2 linked regions of the Tamandua tetradactyla genome follow. The protein of the gene in region 2 purifies or fractionates together with the protein of the main gene of each other region. This does not show direct contact. Links are inferred from orthologs where the notes say so. Each region holds a gene or a part of one and is shown on either strand. Other genes may lie near its edges.

The links. Proteins that work in one complex are often made in the same cells at the same time.
Region 1: the proteins of AP1G1 (region 2) and AP1M2 purify together in Homo sapiens (affinity purification with mass spectrometry; 4 studies listed by BioGRID and IntAct, counting the BioPlex papers as one, with this or other methods). This does not show direct contact. The link is inferred for Tamandua tetradactyla from reciprocal best matches to the Homo sapiens genes AP1G1 and AP1M2.

The regions. Positions count from the first base shown.
Region 1 is NC_135337.1:91,263,084-91,271,381, reverse strand, and holds the start of AP1M2 (AP-1 complex subunit mu-2), read right to left. Parts: upstream 3,257-8,298; 5' UTR 3,170-3,256; coding exon 3,128-3,169; exon of another isoform or gene 3,091-3,127; intron 2,955-3,090; exon of another isoform or gene 2,871-2,954; intron 2,444-2,870; exon of another isoform or gene 2,321-2,443; intron 2,207-2,320; exon of another isoform or gene 2,044-2,206; coding exon 1,887-2,043; intron 1,656-1,886; coding exon 1,588-1,655; intron 213-1,587; coding exon 82-212; intron 1-81. UniProt on the Homo sapiens protein: Subunit of clathrin-associated adaptor protein complex 1 that plays a role in protein sorting in the trans-Golgi network (TGN) and endosomes.
Region 2 is NC_135342.1:66,901,464-66,909,090, reverse strand, and holds the start of AP1G1 (AP-1 complex subunit gamma-1), read right to left. Parts: upstream 3,183-7,627; 5' UTR 2,946-3,182; intron 2,940-2,945; exon of another isoform or gene 2,787-2,939; intron 2,773-2,786; exon of another isoform or gene 2,673-2,772; intron 1-2,672. UniProt on the Homo sapiens protein: Subunit of clathrin-associated adaptor protein complex 1 that plays a role in protein sorting in the late-Golgi/trans-Golgi network (TGN) and/or endosomes.

The sequences.
Region 1 (8,298 bases), on a different chromosome or scaffold from region 2:
GGCCCCTCCCGGGTCTCCTTCCAGCTGGGCCTCCCTGTGGCAGCCCCACCCCCACCCCCTACCCCCCCGGGGTCCACGCACTCCTGCAGGATCTTGCTGTCCGTGGTCTGTGGGAAACCAAAGTCCATGAGCTCGTCCAGCAGCTCGTACACGATGACGAAGTTGTCGCGGATGCTCTCCTCCTCCAGCTCTTTGAAGTACTCAGAGAACACCTGGGGGCCGCGGGCAGGACAGACACCCACCGTAGGTGCGGCTAGTGTGGCTGGGGCCACGGGCTGAGTCTCCACTCGTTCAGCCAACCAGCCAGCAAGCATTGATGGAGCACCTACTGTATATATATATATATATATGCCTGTGCTGCGAAATGAATGGTGATCAGACCAGACAGAGTTCCTGGTCTTCTGGAACAGTCTAGGGGGGGAGATGGACAAGTAACCAGAACCAGTATAATCCACCACGTTGGGGGCAGTGATGGGAAAACACAGGCAGCCCTGGGAGCCAAGAGGTGGAAAAGCCGAGAGGATTTCCTTCTGGGGGGGCCATGGAGCCCTGAGTTTCTGGTGATATGTGCATCCATTACAGAATAAAAGTTGTAAAGGCAGAAAAAAAAATACATGGGATGGGAAAGGAAACTCATTATAAGGAACCACATCCAAGTTCAGGGACTCTCTGGATTCTATCCACAGGTCCTTGGGGGGGGGGGGCATCTGAGGACCCCTGCTGGCAAGTAGGTATGACCCCAGCAGAGAACCCCTCACCGTCCAACACTGGAATAACCTTCCCCTCGCTCGTCCGGGCTACCTCAGGGCCTTTGCATTGGCCGTGCCCTCTGCCTAGGACGTTCTTCCCCCAGCTCGCCCCACAGTGGGCTCTTAGTCTACCGTCTGAGCCTCAGCTTGAATGCCACCTCCTCAATGAAGACCCCCGTGAATGTTTAGCACCCCAGCTAGTGTTTAACCCAATGTACTATTTAATTTCCTTAACGTCCTTTAATTCTTCAGGATGTTGTCTGGGTCGCTTAATTAAGTCTGAGAGCAGGTAGGAAGGGACTGTCCCCTTTCATTTGGCCGAGAGGAGGCAACTCAATATTTGCTGTTTGTTAAAGAATATGTACTGAGCGCCTTCTCACGCATCGAGAGTGGCACCCAGTAATTGCCCAATAAGTTACTATTACATGATGATGATAACTTTAGTGAAATGCCAACAGTAACAGTGAACATTTATCGAGCACCTACTGTATACTGAGCACGGTTTCAGGCAACTTCACAGGTATCAGTCAGATTAACCTTGAGGCAGGAATTCTTATTCCCAGTTTAAAGGCCCAGGGAGGAGCCTTGTCTTGCTTAAGGTCACACAGCCAGGAAGGAGGGGAGTTGGGACTGGTGCTCAGACCCTCTGACTCAGGACCAAGCCGGACCCTCTCTGCCAGTGAGCAGCCAATGAAAACACACTGTGATGGGGCTTTGATGGGGGCGGCTCAGGCAGCATTTCACCCAGAGGCCCCTCTACCCCCCACCCAGGGAGGACAAGGAAGGCTTCCTGGAGGAGGTGGCAGGACAGACAGAGCAGCCGGCCAGTAGCACCTACCTCCACCGCCTTGTAGAGAAAGGAGTACACGAGGGAGGCATTTGCATTCTTCAGGGTGGTAGCCACCACTGCAGGCAGCAGCGCTAAGGAAAAGGTGCTGCTGGCGGTGGGACATGCACACTCCACACACCCCTCACACCCCCCCACCCCCACCACCACCCGGATCACAGGCTCCCCATGCATGCGCACGCCTTGCCGAGGCCCGCCCAGGTGCTGTGTGGCCCCCGGCCGCATCCCACCCTCTCTGGGCCAGAGCCGCCATCACCCCCTGCCTCACGGGCCGGCGCCTGGCTGGATACAGTAGAGGTTGCTGTGTTTGATCCACAGGAAGTGTACGCGGCCGTGGCTCAGCAGCGGGGCCAGCACGCCCTCCTCCTCCTGCTGCATGAGCAGCGGCATGAAGTACTCGATTTCGCTCATGGCCACGTCACCTTTGTAGTTGCGGCTGATCAGAGGCTGGGGGCGGGCAGAGAGAGGGCCCGGCCACCAGTCACCACCGGGGTTCTGGAACCTTCCATCTGAGCCCGCTTCCTGGCAGAGGGGCCTGGGCAAGGCTCTGTCTCTCTGTGCCTCGGTTTCCTGCGCGGGTGACGTGAGCACGCCGTGGCAATAGCTAACGGTATGGAGCCCTCCTGGGTGTCAGGCTGGGCCCTAAAGACTTGGGGCCTGTTCAGTTATTTCCTTCTCACCCCTATGCTCTCCTGTTGGGGTCATCCGCCTCCCCATTTCACAGGCGGGGAAGTTGAGGCTCGGCCAGGTCAGGACCCGGAGAAAAGCTAGGAGCCTGCGAATGGAACCCAAGTGGCCCAGCTCCAGAATTCCTGCTCCTGCCTGGGAATTCATATGCACCAAACTGGTGAGGTGGGAAGAAGGGAAGGAGGAGTGGGCAGGAGGGAGGGAGAGGAGGAGGGAGGGAGGGAAGGGAAAAAAGAAATAAAAGATTTCACAGGTATAGGGTCCACCTGGGCCGGGCAGGAGGAAGCAGCCATCCTGCTAGTTACTTTCTAAGGCCGGGAGCTGCGTGTTTGGAGCAGGGAGCCCTCCCAGCAGGTCCTCACACACCTGACCTGTCCTGGTTACTCTCAGTGTCCTTCCTTCCACCAGCAGCATCATGACTGCTGCTACTGCATTAAGTGACTAGAGGGGTGAGGGGCTGGGGGGTGGGCAGGGCAGCCCCCAGGGGGAATAGGGCCTCCCAGCCAGGCTGCCTTCCCGGATTTCAGCGCCTGATGTTTGCAGCCGGGCTGCGCGCATGACACTTCCACTTTTATTCTTCTCGCTAGATGGGGACTTCTGTTACTCCCGTTTTTGTGAATGCGGAAACTGAGGCTCAGAGAGGCAAGCTCCTTGCCCCAGGGGCGCCACCGGTAAATGCTGGAGATGGGATTCGACTCCCCGAGTTGGGGTGGGGGAGGGAAGGCCCTGGCGCCCCAGTCGCTTTCTGGGGCCTCCCGGGCCTGCGCGGCGAGGCGGCGCCCCTGGGGTCCAGTTACGCGGCCTCACCTGTTCGCCTCCCCCTACTCCGCTCCATCAGCCTCACCTTGCCCTTGACATCGAGGATGAAGACAGCCGAGGCGGACATGGTGGCGGGCGGCTGACCCGGGAGGCGGGGAGGGAGCGCCGGGAGGGGACGGCGCCGCTGCTTCCTTCTTCCTGCGGAAGCACCCGCGCCCAGGTGAGCGCCCAGGTGAGCGCGTCTTAAAGGGGAGGCCGCCAGGTGCTCCGCGCTGTCGGCGGAGGGAAAGACTGCAGCTGAGAGCCAGGCGGGGGCGGAGCTTCGGACAGCTGTCCCAGCTCGCTTTCCATTTGCACCCAGAAGGGCTTATGAGTGAAGACGTCAGACCATCCCTCCAACCAACCATCCCTCCATCCAACCATCCAATCATCCATCCATCCATCCATCCATCCATCCATCCGCCCAACAATCGAACTATCCATCCATCCATCCATCCAACCATTCAACCATTCACCCATCCCTCCATCCAACCATCCAACCATCCATCCATCCATCCATCCATCCATCCAGCCAACCATTCATCCATTCCTCCATTGCTCCAACCGTCCATCCATCCATCTCTTCTTCCTTCTATCCCTCCATCCAACCATCCATCCAACCATCCATCCATCCATCCATCCATCCATCCAACCATCCATCCATCCATCCATCCATCCATCCATCCAACCATCCATCCATCCATCCAACCATCCATCCATCTAATTTCTCTCTTGTTCTCACCCACAAGCACATCAGCCCCAGCTGGGCAGAGACTATGTCCTGTGCTTGGCCATGTCCCCAGTGCCCAGCACAGATTGGGCACACAGTAGGTGCTCAATAATACTTACCAAATTCATTCTTTCATACAATAAATATTTACTCATTAATTTACTTCTTCACTCCAAGATTTAGTCACTAGTAAATTATTTCTCTAATGACAGGAATTGTGGGTTAGACTCTTCCTGTCATTAGAGAAATGCTTTCATTATTATTCCTAATTTTACACTTATTCATTCACTGAAAAAATATTAAGCTCCTATTATGTTTTAGCAATGCTAAAATGTTGATAGGATGTTGAAAAGAGAGCTGATCATGATTATGATGCTGGTGATGAGGATGACTCTATGATTACATATTATTATTCATTCAACAAATATTCATTGAGTGCCTACTGTGTACTGCACTGACCCTTTGGAAACTGCTTTCACCATGATGAACCGAGTGCCTCTGTTCCCAGTTGGTGACCAAATGGACAAGGTACTGCTCTCACTCTTGATAGGGCAAGAGACACACGATGTATAAACCAAAAAACAAGGTGATGCCCAAGGGTAAAGAGCTCTGGGGCAACTCAACCAGGCTGGGAAGGGGTATAGAGAGTGAGTGGGGGACTGGGAGATCAGAGAAGGAGATGGTATTTTGCAGAGGCCTAAGGGGCCCAGTAAACGATGACACAGTAAGGCGGCATTATTGCCAGAAACTCTTTGCCCAACCCTTTGCAGGTCTGGGGTTTTACTGGCTCCACATGCCTGAGTTTTGAGCTGCAGAGGGTAGTGGGGTGAGGGGCGCATGATGAGGGGGGCCTCTGCAGCACCTGTCAGGAAGCAGTTACTGGTATTGCTTTCGTTGCTATTGTTTATATGTGAACCTGCCAGGCGTGGAGTCCGCTGGCACCGCCCGCCTGGGCACCTGGGCTTCTCTGCCCAGGTCTCAGTCGGTGCATCTGTGAAAAGGGTTAATAACTGTCCTTCCCTCATTGGATTGCTGGGTGGGTCACATGAGTTATTATCTGCAACATGGCATGTGGAACAGTGCCTGGGACGTAGCTGGAACTCATTCATGTTGGCTAATATTACCATTATCGTTATGACTACATGGTGGTTAAAAAGCACAGGTGCTGGCATTCAGCCGTGTAAAGGAGTGATGCTCTGATACTGTATGATAACACAGATGAGCTTGGAAGGCAGCATGCTGAGTGAGAGAACCAGATGCCAAAGGAGAAACAATTATAGGAACTAATTGGGACATGCAAATTCAAGAGGAAGAAATGAAAATGCAGGTTATCAGGGCCTGGGGTGGAGCTGGGAAATGGGGAGTTAATGTTTCATATGTACAGAGTTTCCGTTTGAGGAGATGGAAAAGTCTTGCAATGACTCGGCATGTGAACTCACTGCCCTCCCCTCTACGTGGGACAGGGCTCCGGTGGTGCACATCTCCCTGGCAACGTGAGACAGGACTCCCGGGGGGTGAGCCTGGCTCTGGCATCACGGGATTGAGAAAACCTTCTTGACCAAAAAGGGGAAGCGAAATGAGACAAAATGAAATTTCAGTGGCTGAGAGATTTCAAGCAGAGTCGAGAGGTTATCCCAGAGGTTATTCTAATTTTTAAAAATATTTTTATTGAGAAATATCCGCACAGTAGAGTCCAACCATATTGTACAATCAATGGCTCACAATATCATCACATGGTTGTGTATTCATCAACATGATCATTTTTAGAACATTTGCATCTCCAGAATAAGAAGTGAAAAAAAAAAATCTCATACATCCCATGCCGTTTACCTCACCCTCTCATTGACCCACAGCATTTCGATCTACCCAATTTTTACTCTTTATCAACTCTCCCATTATTTATTTATTTATTAGCCTTATTTTTTACTCCTCTGTCCATACCCTGGGTAAAAGGAGAATCAGACCCAAGCTTTTCACAATCACACAGTCACATTGTAAAAGCTGCACAATCATCTTTAAGTTACACAATCATCTTTAAGAATCAAGGCTCCTGGCACTGGTCTGATTGTTGTGAGGACATTTTGTGGACTTAAAGCATCAGTTAAGTTGACTGCATCTACGGCTGATTCCATCTACAATCAACTGAGGATATTTTGCCTTCAACAATGAGAGAAGGCTCATCCAGTCAGTTGAGGACTTTAAAAGAAGTTATGGTTTCAGCAGTCAGAAGAGAGAATTTCCATCTCTGCTTTAGCTAGTCAGCTTCTCCCGGGGATGTTATCAAAAACCTTCATGGGAATTCCCAGTTTGCAGCCTGTCCTGTGGAATTTGGACTCGTGCATCCCCACAGTCACATGAGACAGTTTTGATAAAAATCTCATAATATTTACAGATGTGTCCTGTTGGTCTGTTTCCCTGGAGAATACAGACTAAAACGCTAAGTATTTCAAGTTTATTGCTATTGTCATTGGATTTAAATTTTTTTAAATTTCTGATTATTTATTCCTAGTATATAGAAATATAGCTGATTTTTGTATATTTTTCTTGTATCCTGAAGCCTTTCTAAGCTTACTTGTTTCTTCTAGTAGCTTCTAAAAATAGATTCTTTGGATTGTCTGTATAAATGAGCACGTGGTCTGCAAACAAACACAGTTTTAGTCTTTTCTTTCTGACTGTGTGCCTTTTATTTCATTTGCTAGCCTCATCGTACCGGTTAAAATCTCCAGTATGATGTTGAATAAGAGTAGTGAGTGTAAGTATCCCAGTCTTCTTGATTTTAGAGTTTTCAGTGCTTTACCATTAAGTATGATAACTATAGCTTTATAAGGTGAAATAAGGTTACTTCTGTTCCTGACTTGCTGAAAATTTTATCATGAATTTATATTGAATTTTGTCATATGCTTTTTTGCATATATTGGGTTTTTCATTTTTAGTCCGTTGATGGCATTGATATATTGATTGATTTTCAGATAAGTTTTGAATTTTGAACCAACCTTTATTTCTGGCATAAACTCCTTTTGGTCATGATGTATCATCCTCTTATGTATTTATAGATTAAATTTGATAACATTTTGTTAATGATTGTCTTCTTTTCTGATAATAGCTTTCTCTGGTTTTGCTATCAGCATAATCATGGCCTCATAAAATGAAATAAGAAATGTTTCCTCTTCTATTTTCTGAAAGAATTTGTATGGAATTAGTATTATTTCTTCCTTAAATGTTTGGTACAGTTTACCAGTTCTTTGTGAGAAAGTTTGTCGTAATTAATTCAAACTTTAATGAATAACAGACAATTTATTCTTCTTAAAAAAGAGAATCAAGGCTAAATATACCATAAACTAAGAAGGGATATTTGTATAATGCATAAGAATAACCTCCAGGACAACCTCTCGACTCTGTTTGAAATCTCTCAGCCACTGGGACTTTATTTTGTCTCATTTCTCTCTTCACCCTTTTGGTCCAGAAGCCCTTATCAATCCCAAGATGCCAGGTCCCAGCTTCATCCTGGGAGTCCTCTCCCACGTTGCCAGGGATATTTACACCCCTGGGAGTCATGTCCCACATAGCAGGGAGGGCAGTGACTTTACCTGTGGAGTTGGCTTACAGAGAGAGGCCACATCTGAGCAACAAAAGAGGTTCTCTGGGGGGTGACTGTGAGGCATAATTATAAGTAGGTTTAGCCTCTTCTTTGCAGGAGTAAGTTTCTTAGGGGCAAGCCCTAAGGTTGAGGGTGGAACCTATGGAATTGGTTATCCCCACTGCTTGTGAGAGTAGCAGTAATTCCCCAGATGGGTAAGTTAATATTTCCTCCTTTCTCCCAAGTTCCCCCAAGGGAACTTTGCAAATGCTCTTCTAATCTCTGCCCAAATTACTCTGGGGCTATCACACTAACTGTACAAACCAACAAGCTCTCATGCGCTATTCAAGATTCCATATAATTATGGTGTTTAAGGAAACTGACAATACAAGTTAAATTGGATAATGTGTTACCTAAAATATAATTTTTTTTTTTTACCAGATAAACATCTCTCCCTTTAGTCTTGCACAGAGGTTGAAGTTTGAAAATACGGGCCATATTATTCTTTACCACGTATTCCAATTTACTTTAGTCCCATCTAGATCAGCTTCATTCACATCTCTAGATGAAGTCTGATCACTTTTTCAGCCTTTTAACAGTTGCTGAATGGGGTAGAGCTGACTTTCACTGCTTCAGAGTTCTAACTCTGAGTCTCAGGTGTCACCTAAATACCCAAAGTTTCAGGGAATGACCAGGTTATACACAAATAGCTCAGTATCCCAGAATTTAGAAATATCAGGTGCAACCTCTAAATATATGTGACTGCTATAAGAGCTTACGGTCTTGGACCCTTTACAGTAGGTCCCAGCCTGATAACCCACGCTCTCAACTTCAGTTCTCTGAGTTTGTCTATTATAGATAATCCATATGAGTGAGGCATCACGATTGTCTGGAAATTATTCTTATGCAT
Region 2 (7,627 bases):
GATGAAAGATAATCATTTTAGATTTTTGGAAGCTAAATGCAACTAAGTCTTAGAGCTTTGATATCAATTAAATTCTGCTGTACACAGAAATTTTTAAATCCTCATAAAATGTAAATAAGGGGATTAAGCATTGCAAAAATCTGTTTTGGTATGTGGTTTCCCAATTCAACTTTTTAAATTAAAAATAAGCTTAGTTGTTTTGGAAAACACTGGTTCGACTTTTTAATTCTGTGCAAGTTAAAGAGTTTATAAAACACAAGAAACTTTTTTTGGCACACCAATGAGTTAAGACTTCTTTTTAAAGTAAAGTAAATACTGGGATGAAATAACACCAAACCATCAAGGATGGATCAGAGGCAGAATTCTCACCTGCCATGCCAGAGACCCAGGTTTGATTCCCAGACCCTGCTCATGTGAAAAAAAAAAAAAAAGAAAGAAAATCACCAAACCATTGCTGGCAAATTTCTGTACTTGACCGCTTTACTCAAAGTTCACTCCCAAACCTAGAACTACTTGTCAGTGAAATACCAAAGAACAGGCAACCACTTTCAAAAGAAAAATGAACTGAGGTCTCCTAAACACTAATGTTAGTTTCAAATACAATCCCAGCAACCTGACAAAAGTAGACATTCAAGCATATTCTGATCAGTGAGGCACTAAACAGCACTTTGCTTATAATTTGGAAAGCAAAAGGACACTTTTTCGAACTGAATGCAAACCTAAAAATGAATGACATTTAAATATCAGATTATACCATGAAATGAAATGAATGAAATAACATCTATCTGATAGCTCTTCCAATACTTTGTTTTAAAAGTGTAACTCAGAAATAGAACATTTCAGTGGTATCTACAAGGAGATACTTTGTGAATGAATGAGCATTTCCTAAGTGTTAAGTGCTGTCAGCTCCTTTAAAACAGAAAAAAAAAAAAAGGCATAGCTTCCAAGTAAATACAGACTCACAAAACTCACTAATATCTAATGTAACTATTATAATTTTTTAAATTCTCCTTAAAACAAGTTGACAAGGATGGGTCACGGTGGCTCAGCAGGCAGAGTTCTCGCCTGCCATGCCAGAGACCCGGGTTTGATTCTTGGTGCCTGCCCATGTTAAAAAAAAAAAAGTTGACAAAAACATTGAGCATTTACCCTAAAAACAATGCCTTGTACTGTACCGAAGCATCAGATGACTTGTACAGGAATTTATTTTCAGTCTCATTTCAATCACTTGGTAAGAAAAATGCATTTATATATGGATGAGAAGTATTAAAAATTTTTGACTCAGTTCAAGTAAGAAATTTAGATTTCAGTAGTCACTAGACTGCTGTGCTCTCGAATAAATTATTTCTCTTTTGCAAATCTAAAAACCCAGGCTCAGATGTGAATTGCCCGTGATGCACTCACACTCACCTAATCGGTGAATTACTGTGAAATGTTTTTTATCCAAACATGCTATATACAAGCATACTTTAGGAGTGGTATAAAAGGAATGAGATTATGATACCTAGAGGTCCATATTTTTTCAAACCAAAAGTCAAGATGCATATAGTCTGACAAGTATTATGGAGAAGTGAATATTTTAAATCCAACTACCCCCAGAAAACCCAATACACGAAGTCGACACAGTATTTTTAAACTGACTAAATTCTCTTATGTAAAGGGGAGGGGAAGAAATCACTGAACCACTTCAGGCAGCCAGCAAAGGTCATTACCATACAAAACACCTGAAAGTTTACAACACTAAAAAAATCTTTGCTCTCTTCTGTTAAATATCCCTTTATCATACAAAAATGAAATGAAATAAAATAACTCTGCTTTCTACCTAAATCAGATTAATATTCTTCATAAGATTTCCATGCCATGGACATATAACACCAAGAAAAATATACAAGTGTCATTAAAAACCCAAAACCTAAGTGCTAAGCACTGCAAGGTAATTCACAAAATGAGACAACATTTGACAGCCTTCTCGCACCCACCCCCAAAAAAGCATTTAATCTGCTTTATAAACATTTACTATTGAAATACATACTGGGCGGGTGGTTTGACGGATCTCCTACACACCAAACCCTAATAGGGAAATGTAATCAACCCTCCTAACTCTTTCAGGCAGTCAAGGCGGTGAGATCGGGAAAATTATCAGAAACTGACGTCAGTAGGATAAAGTGTTTGAGAGAAGGGTAACCGGTATATTCGCAGGTGAGTTAAGAAAACAACAACCAAAAAAAAAAAAAAAAACAAAAACGGGCAATTGGGAAAGAAGTTGGCTGGAAGGTTAGAGGGAGGAGAGGTAGATGTCCGGTTCTGTGAGAACGGCATTGCAGAGGCAGACAGCGTTTGACTGAGCATTTGGAAATGCTAACGAGTTTCTGTGAGAGACAAGATCGGGGTACAAGATACAAGTACGTCGATACGTGGCTCAGAGAAGACACGCGGAGGTGGGCCCGCCCCGCTAACCCTAGGCTCCCTGAATGAGCCCTCAAAGGAAGATCGCAGCCTGAGAAAGTCAATGGGTTCAAGGAGGCCCGCACCCGCCCAGCAACGCCACAGCACGGAAAGCCGCCGCGCGCTGAGCCTCCAGGTCCAAGACCTCAGGGGCGGCCCTCAAGAAGTCGGAGCAACCCCTGGGGCGCCGGGCCCCTCCTGGTTCAGCTTCTGTCCTGTCTTCTCACCCCTACTGCCTGAGACCGGACCTCTAGTGTTGACAGGATGTCTCCGGCCGAGCACTTGCGGCAGCCGCTGGGCAAAAGCAGCAGTATACTCTCGGCGCCGCAAGTGACACTCACCGGCCCGAAACCTCGAATGAAACCAGCAGCTTCGGGGGCGGCGGCAGCAGTAGCAGCAGGAACCGAACATCCAAAATGGCGGCTCCCTCGGCCTCACCACCGCTACTGCAGGCGGAGGGATCCTAACGAGGGAGGGAGTTTTTAACTAACTTTACGCACTGTGGCAGAAACTCCGCGTCCCCGTCCTCTCTCTTTGTCGATTCTGCGTCCCCACTGCAACTTCTCGCGCTTCCCCTCTCCTATTATTCAAGAGCCCGGACCCCGCCGAGGACTATTTGCCACGGAGGAGGCGACTGCCCCTGGCCAAGCGACGCAAAGCGTAGCAAGGTTCAGGGCTGTCACTGATGACGCGAGACGTTGCTGCCGAGTCACCTCTGCGGTGAGTCTGAGTGAGAAAGATCCGACAAACCCCGGCGCCGATGGACTTTGGTTCCGCAAGGCGGGTGAGAGACCTGGGCTATCAGGAAGAGGCGGGGGTCACCTGAAGGGGCGGGACTAGCAAGGTAGAGGAGGAAGTGGGAGAGGCCAGGCAGCTGGGGGCAGAGTACGCTGATCCGCTTAAACCGCAGAATCCTCTTTCCGAGTACCTGTGAGACCTTAGCCTTCTCTTAGTTCAACTTCAGAAACATGCTCCAACTGATCCTGAATTCTGCGGTTTATAGTATCTTTGTAACATATTGCATGAAAGGGAGGATGACTCAGAAGAATGGGTTCCAAGCAGTACCTCCTGCGCTGGACAATTTATTTAAACTCGGAACCTCCGATTCCTCACATATAAAAAAAGAGAGGGCTTGAACTACCGTAAACTTCCAGTGTGGACTTTCTGTTTGTGACTTCATAAACGATTGAGTTGAGCCAAAGAAAGTTTGACCAGCCAGTTCCTAGCCTGATAAATAATTACTAACCCTTTACAAGATTATTTTCCATGTGAACGTTAAGAGCACGATGATATCTTGGTCCATTTAAAGGAAAGATTAACTACCCAGACTAAAACCTTCAGGAAAATTAGTGATAAAATACCGCTAAAAGGAAATAAAGCACAGCACCAAACTAGATGCCTAAATGAACAGATTTAAACACAAATCTTAAGTTTAAAACCTGAATGATACAGCTAAGACCTTTCTCTTTTTTTGCCTTAGGCAGTTATTTCCATGTAAGAATTTCAAAACTAAAAAAAAAAAAAATGAGCTGGGTAGTCCCACTGTGCAGCTCTGTCCTCAAGCTACTGGAGCATGCTAAGTGACCGGACAGAAAGGAAGCTAAGAGCATAATACTAGTAATTTTTATTATTATTAAGTATGGCTATCACCCTTTACAAAGCACCTCTGTATATATCATCTAATCCTCCCAACAACCTCCTGAGTTAGACTGGGCAAACTTGAATAACTCAGTTTTACAAATAAAGAGACTGAGGTTCAGGGAAACTTGGAATTGCGGAAGGAACTTCCGGCCTCAACCTTCTCCTTTCTGCCCTCTGCCACTGGAGTTCTGCTATCCTCTGGTGCCATTGTGCAAATTAGGAACTGGTAATACCCCAACATCCCCAAACACACACACATGCAAACACACACACACTGGGTGAACTGAGACCATAGCAAATGGTTTGGGGATTGGAATGCTTATGGAATTTAGCCCCATCCTATCCTCTCCCTTGCACTACTCTACACAGCAGCCTTGGATTGCATAAACTAGTACATAGTAGTGTGAAACTACAACACTGTAATGATGACGTATCTCTTGATTCTTCTGAGGGATAACTGTGGCCCAAACAGGTACCAAGGTACACTTTGGAGTTTCCATAAAAGTAACAATTTTGCAGGTTGCAAAGCAGAGGTAGCTAAAGAGTTAGCTTTCAGTTTGTGGAAAGTCACAAATGTTTACTTAGAGTTGGGAATTTAAATGTTTACTAATATTTTGTAGTAAGTGTTTGCTAACCACAAAAGAAAAGTTAAGAACACCTTCTTAAAGGAGAAAAGTATCTTTTTCTGCTTATTGGCAGAATACTAAAGAGAAAATTATAAAATGTAAAACCTACATGTAGTTTTTACTTATATTTATTTTTATTTATAATTACCAAACACCTCTCCCATGCAACTAAAAATTTAAAACAATTGACCCGGTATAAAGTGTGGTAATCGTTAGCCTGTGATTTTTAGTTTCCCTGGGCAATGATTAAAGCCTGGAAATGCTTACTCCTCAGCTTCTCCAACATAATCCCTAATCCAAAATAAATAAATTACAGTACACTAAAATCCATACAATGGAATACTATGTACAATAAAATCCATCAATAGACTACTAGGTTGCCAATGAAAATAAAGCTATAGTATCTTTATTATCATGATATGCCAGATTTTTAAAAACAATATTTCAAAACAGTATGATAGGGGTTGCACTACTGTGTGAACTGGAGATGGGGGTGGCCCGGGCATGAAGTGGAAAGAATTGAAAAGAATTCAGCTCAACAAACAGATTTGATCTCAAATGCAACATGGTGGGAGTTCAAAGATCCTAGAGGGGCTAACAGAGTAGACCAGATGATGAACCTGGAGAAGATGGGACACAAAGGATTCCTGCTGGAATTTTGGCTCTTTCCTCCTCTCCAGATGGTACCTTCAGGTGCATCCTTATTGGAAGCAGCTGTGACCAGCAAGGGCTTAGTGGTATGGGATACATTGTTAGTAGGTCAATCAATAAATCTGGAAAATGGCCAGTTCCACCATGATGACTGAGTTTCTTTCTCCTCATGGGTTTTGCTGTAGGGTGGAAGCTAAGGTTTCAACATTCCATTGTTATTCCTACTAATATGTACTTGGCTTCCTTGGTAAGGAGTCTTCTCATCATTAGTGCCACCACACTCGACCAGAATCTTCAAACACCCATGTACTTTTTCCTCAGGAGTCTGTCCATCTTAGATATGTGCTTCATTTCTGTAATTGTCCCCAGTGCCTGTGTCAACTCTCTCACTGACAACAGGGTCATTTTAGTGGCTGGGGGTACAACTCAGATCTTCCTAGTCCTTTACTGTGCCTGCGTGGAAATATTATTATTCACCATCATGGCCCAGGATTACCCTGTGACTGCTTTTCTCTGTGGTCTGGTCTATGCAGATGTGCACAGTGGTAACACTTTCCAGTTGTCCTTCTGTCAGTCCATTGTTATGCACCAATTTCTCTGTGACATCCCTTCTCTACTGAGGCTTTCTTGCCCTGACACCTTCAACAATGAATTCTTAATTGTGTCTGCCATGAGGTTTGGTGTTGGCTGCTTTATCTTCATTGTCATATCTTATACTCACCTATTTTCTACTGTGCTCAAGTTTCCAACCAATGGAGAGTGAGGAAAGACCTTTTCCACCTGTGTCCCTCACATCATTGTTGTATTTGTCTTCTTTAGCTCAACCTTATATGTGTATTTAATGCCATCTTCAGTGTCAGACATGTTTCTGGATATGATTTTCTCTGTTTTCGATTCCATAATTCCTCCATTTTTAAATCCCATTTTCAACAGTCTTAGAAACAAACAGACCAAGGGAGCACTGAAAAAAAATAATGCAAACTTTTCTGCAGGAAAAATATTAGATGAATTTCAAGTTTTTCTAAATGCTTTCATATCAAGTTGATATATACACACACACACATTTTGATATTCATTTAGCTACAAATGCTATTACTGGATTGATAAAAATTACTGCTGTACTTTTACGTGCTTATTTGCCTTTTGATCACATTAGTTGATTTAGAATGATATGTAGGAAAGGGATAGAAGTGTATATATAATATAAAACCAGGAATTCTTAGGATTTTCATTGAGACTGCCTCTTCAAAACTTCCCTCATTGTGAGTCTAGGGACTCACACATATCTATAGTGATTATTTCTGCCTAAACATTGCTCTTTCGCTTAAAATCTTCAAAATCAGTGAGGACATATCAAATTCGTACTTTATAATGAGTTGATAAAGTCAAGGGTATTGTATCACATGTTAAATACTAATAAATGGATACTAAATTTGTCACTATAGATTATTATATATAATCAACATTTATCAATATTAAAAATTATATTCAAGAAAATATTGATAAATAATAAAGAGATCATTTGCTAGTTATGTTATTGATCCCAATGCAGATAAAATTTAAATAATTATTTAATCAATAAATTCATTTTAACTTCTTACAAATTGAGATCCTTATATGTGGAGTAAAACTATAGAATGAAATAAGTGATAATACAATCTTTCTACAATTTGAGAAATTAAAAGTTGGTTTCTAAGTTAAAAATTGCATAAATTGTGTTTTCGATTTCTTTCATAAACTGCAGAAAACATCACTTGATTCCAGAATCAGGAAGCATGTGCCCTCTTGAGATTTACCCATATTATTGCATAGATCAATAGCTGAACATATTTTCATTATATGGATGTACTAAGGTTTGTTTGTACCTTCATCTGCTGATAAACACAGAGCTCTTTCTGGTTTTGGCTTAATATTTAAATTGTTATAAATATTCAAATGCAGGCTTTGTCTGAACATATGCTTTTATTTTTCTTGATAAAATACCTAAGTGTGGGACTGCTGGAGCACAACGTGAACGTATATTGAACTTTATAGGACGTTGTCAAATTGTTTTCCAAACTGACAGTACAATTGTGTATCTTCAGGAATAAATCGGGCCTCCAATTGTCTGTCACTGGTCAATGCTTTCTATCATTGATTTTTTAAAAATATATCCCTTCTAGTAGGGTATGTAATGATTTGTATTATTGGTTTTAATATACATTTCCCTAGTGGTTATTGATGTTGAACACTGTTTTGTGAACTTGTTTTTCATCAGTATCTCT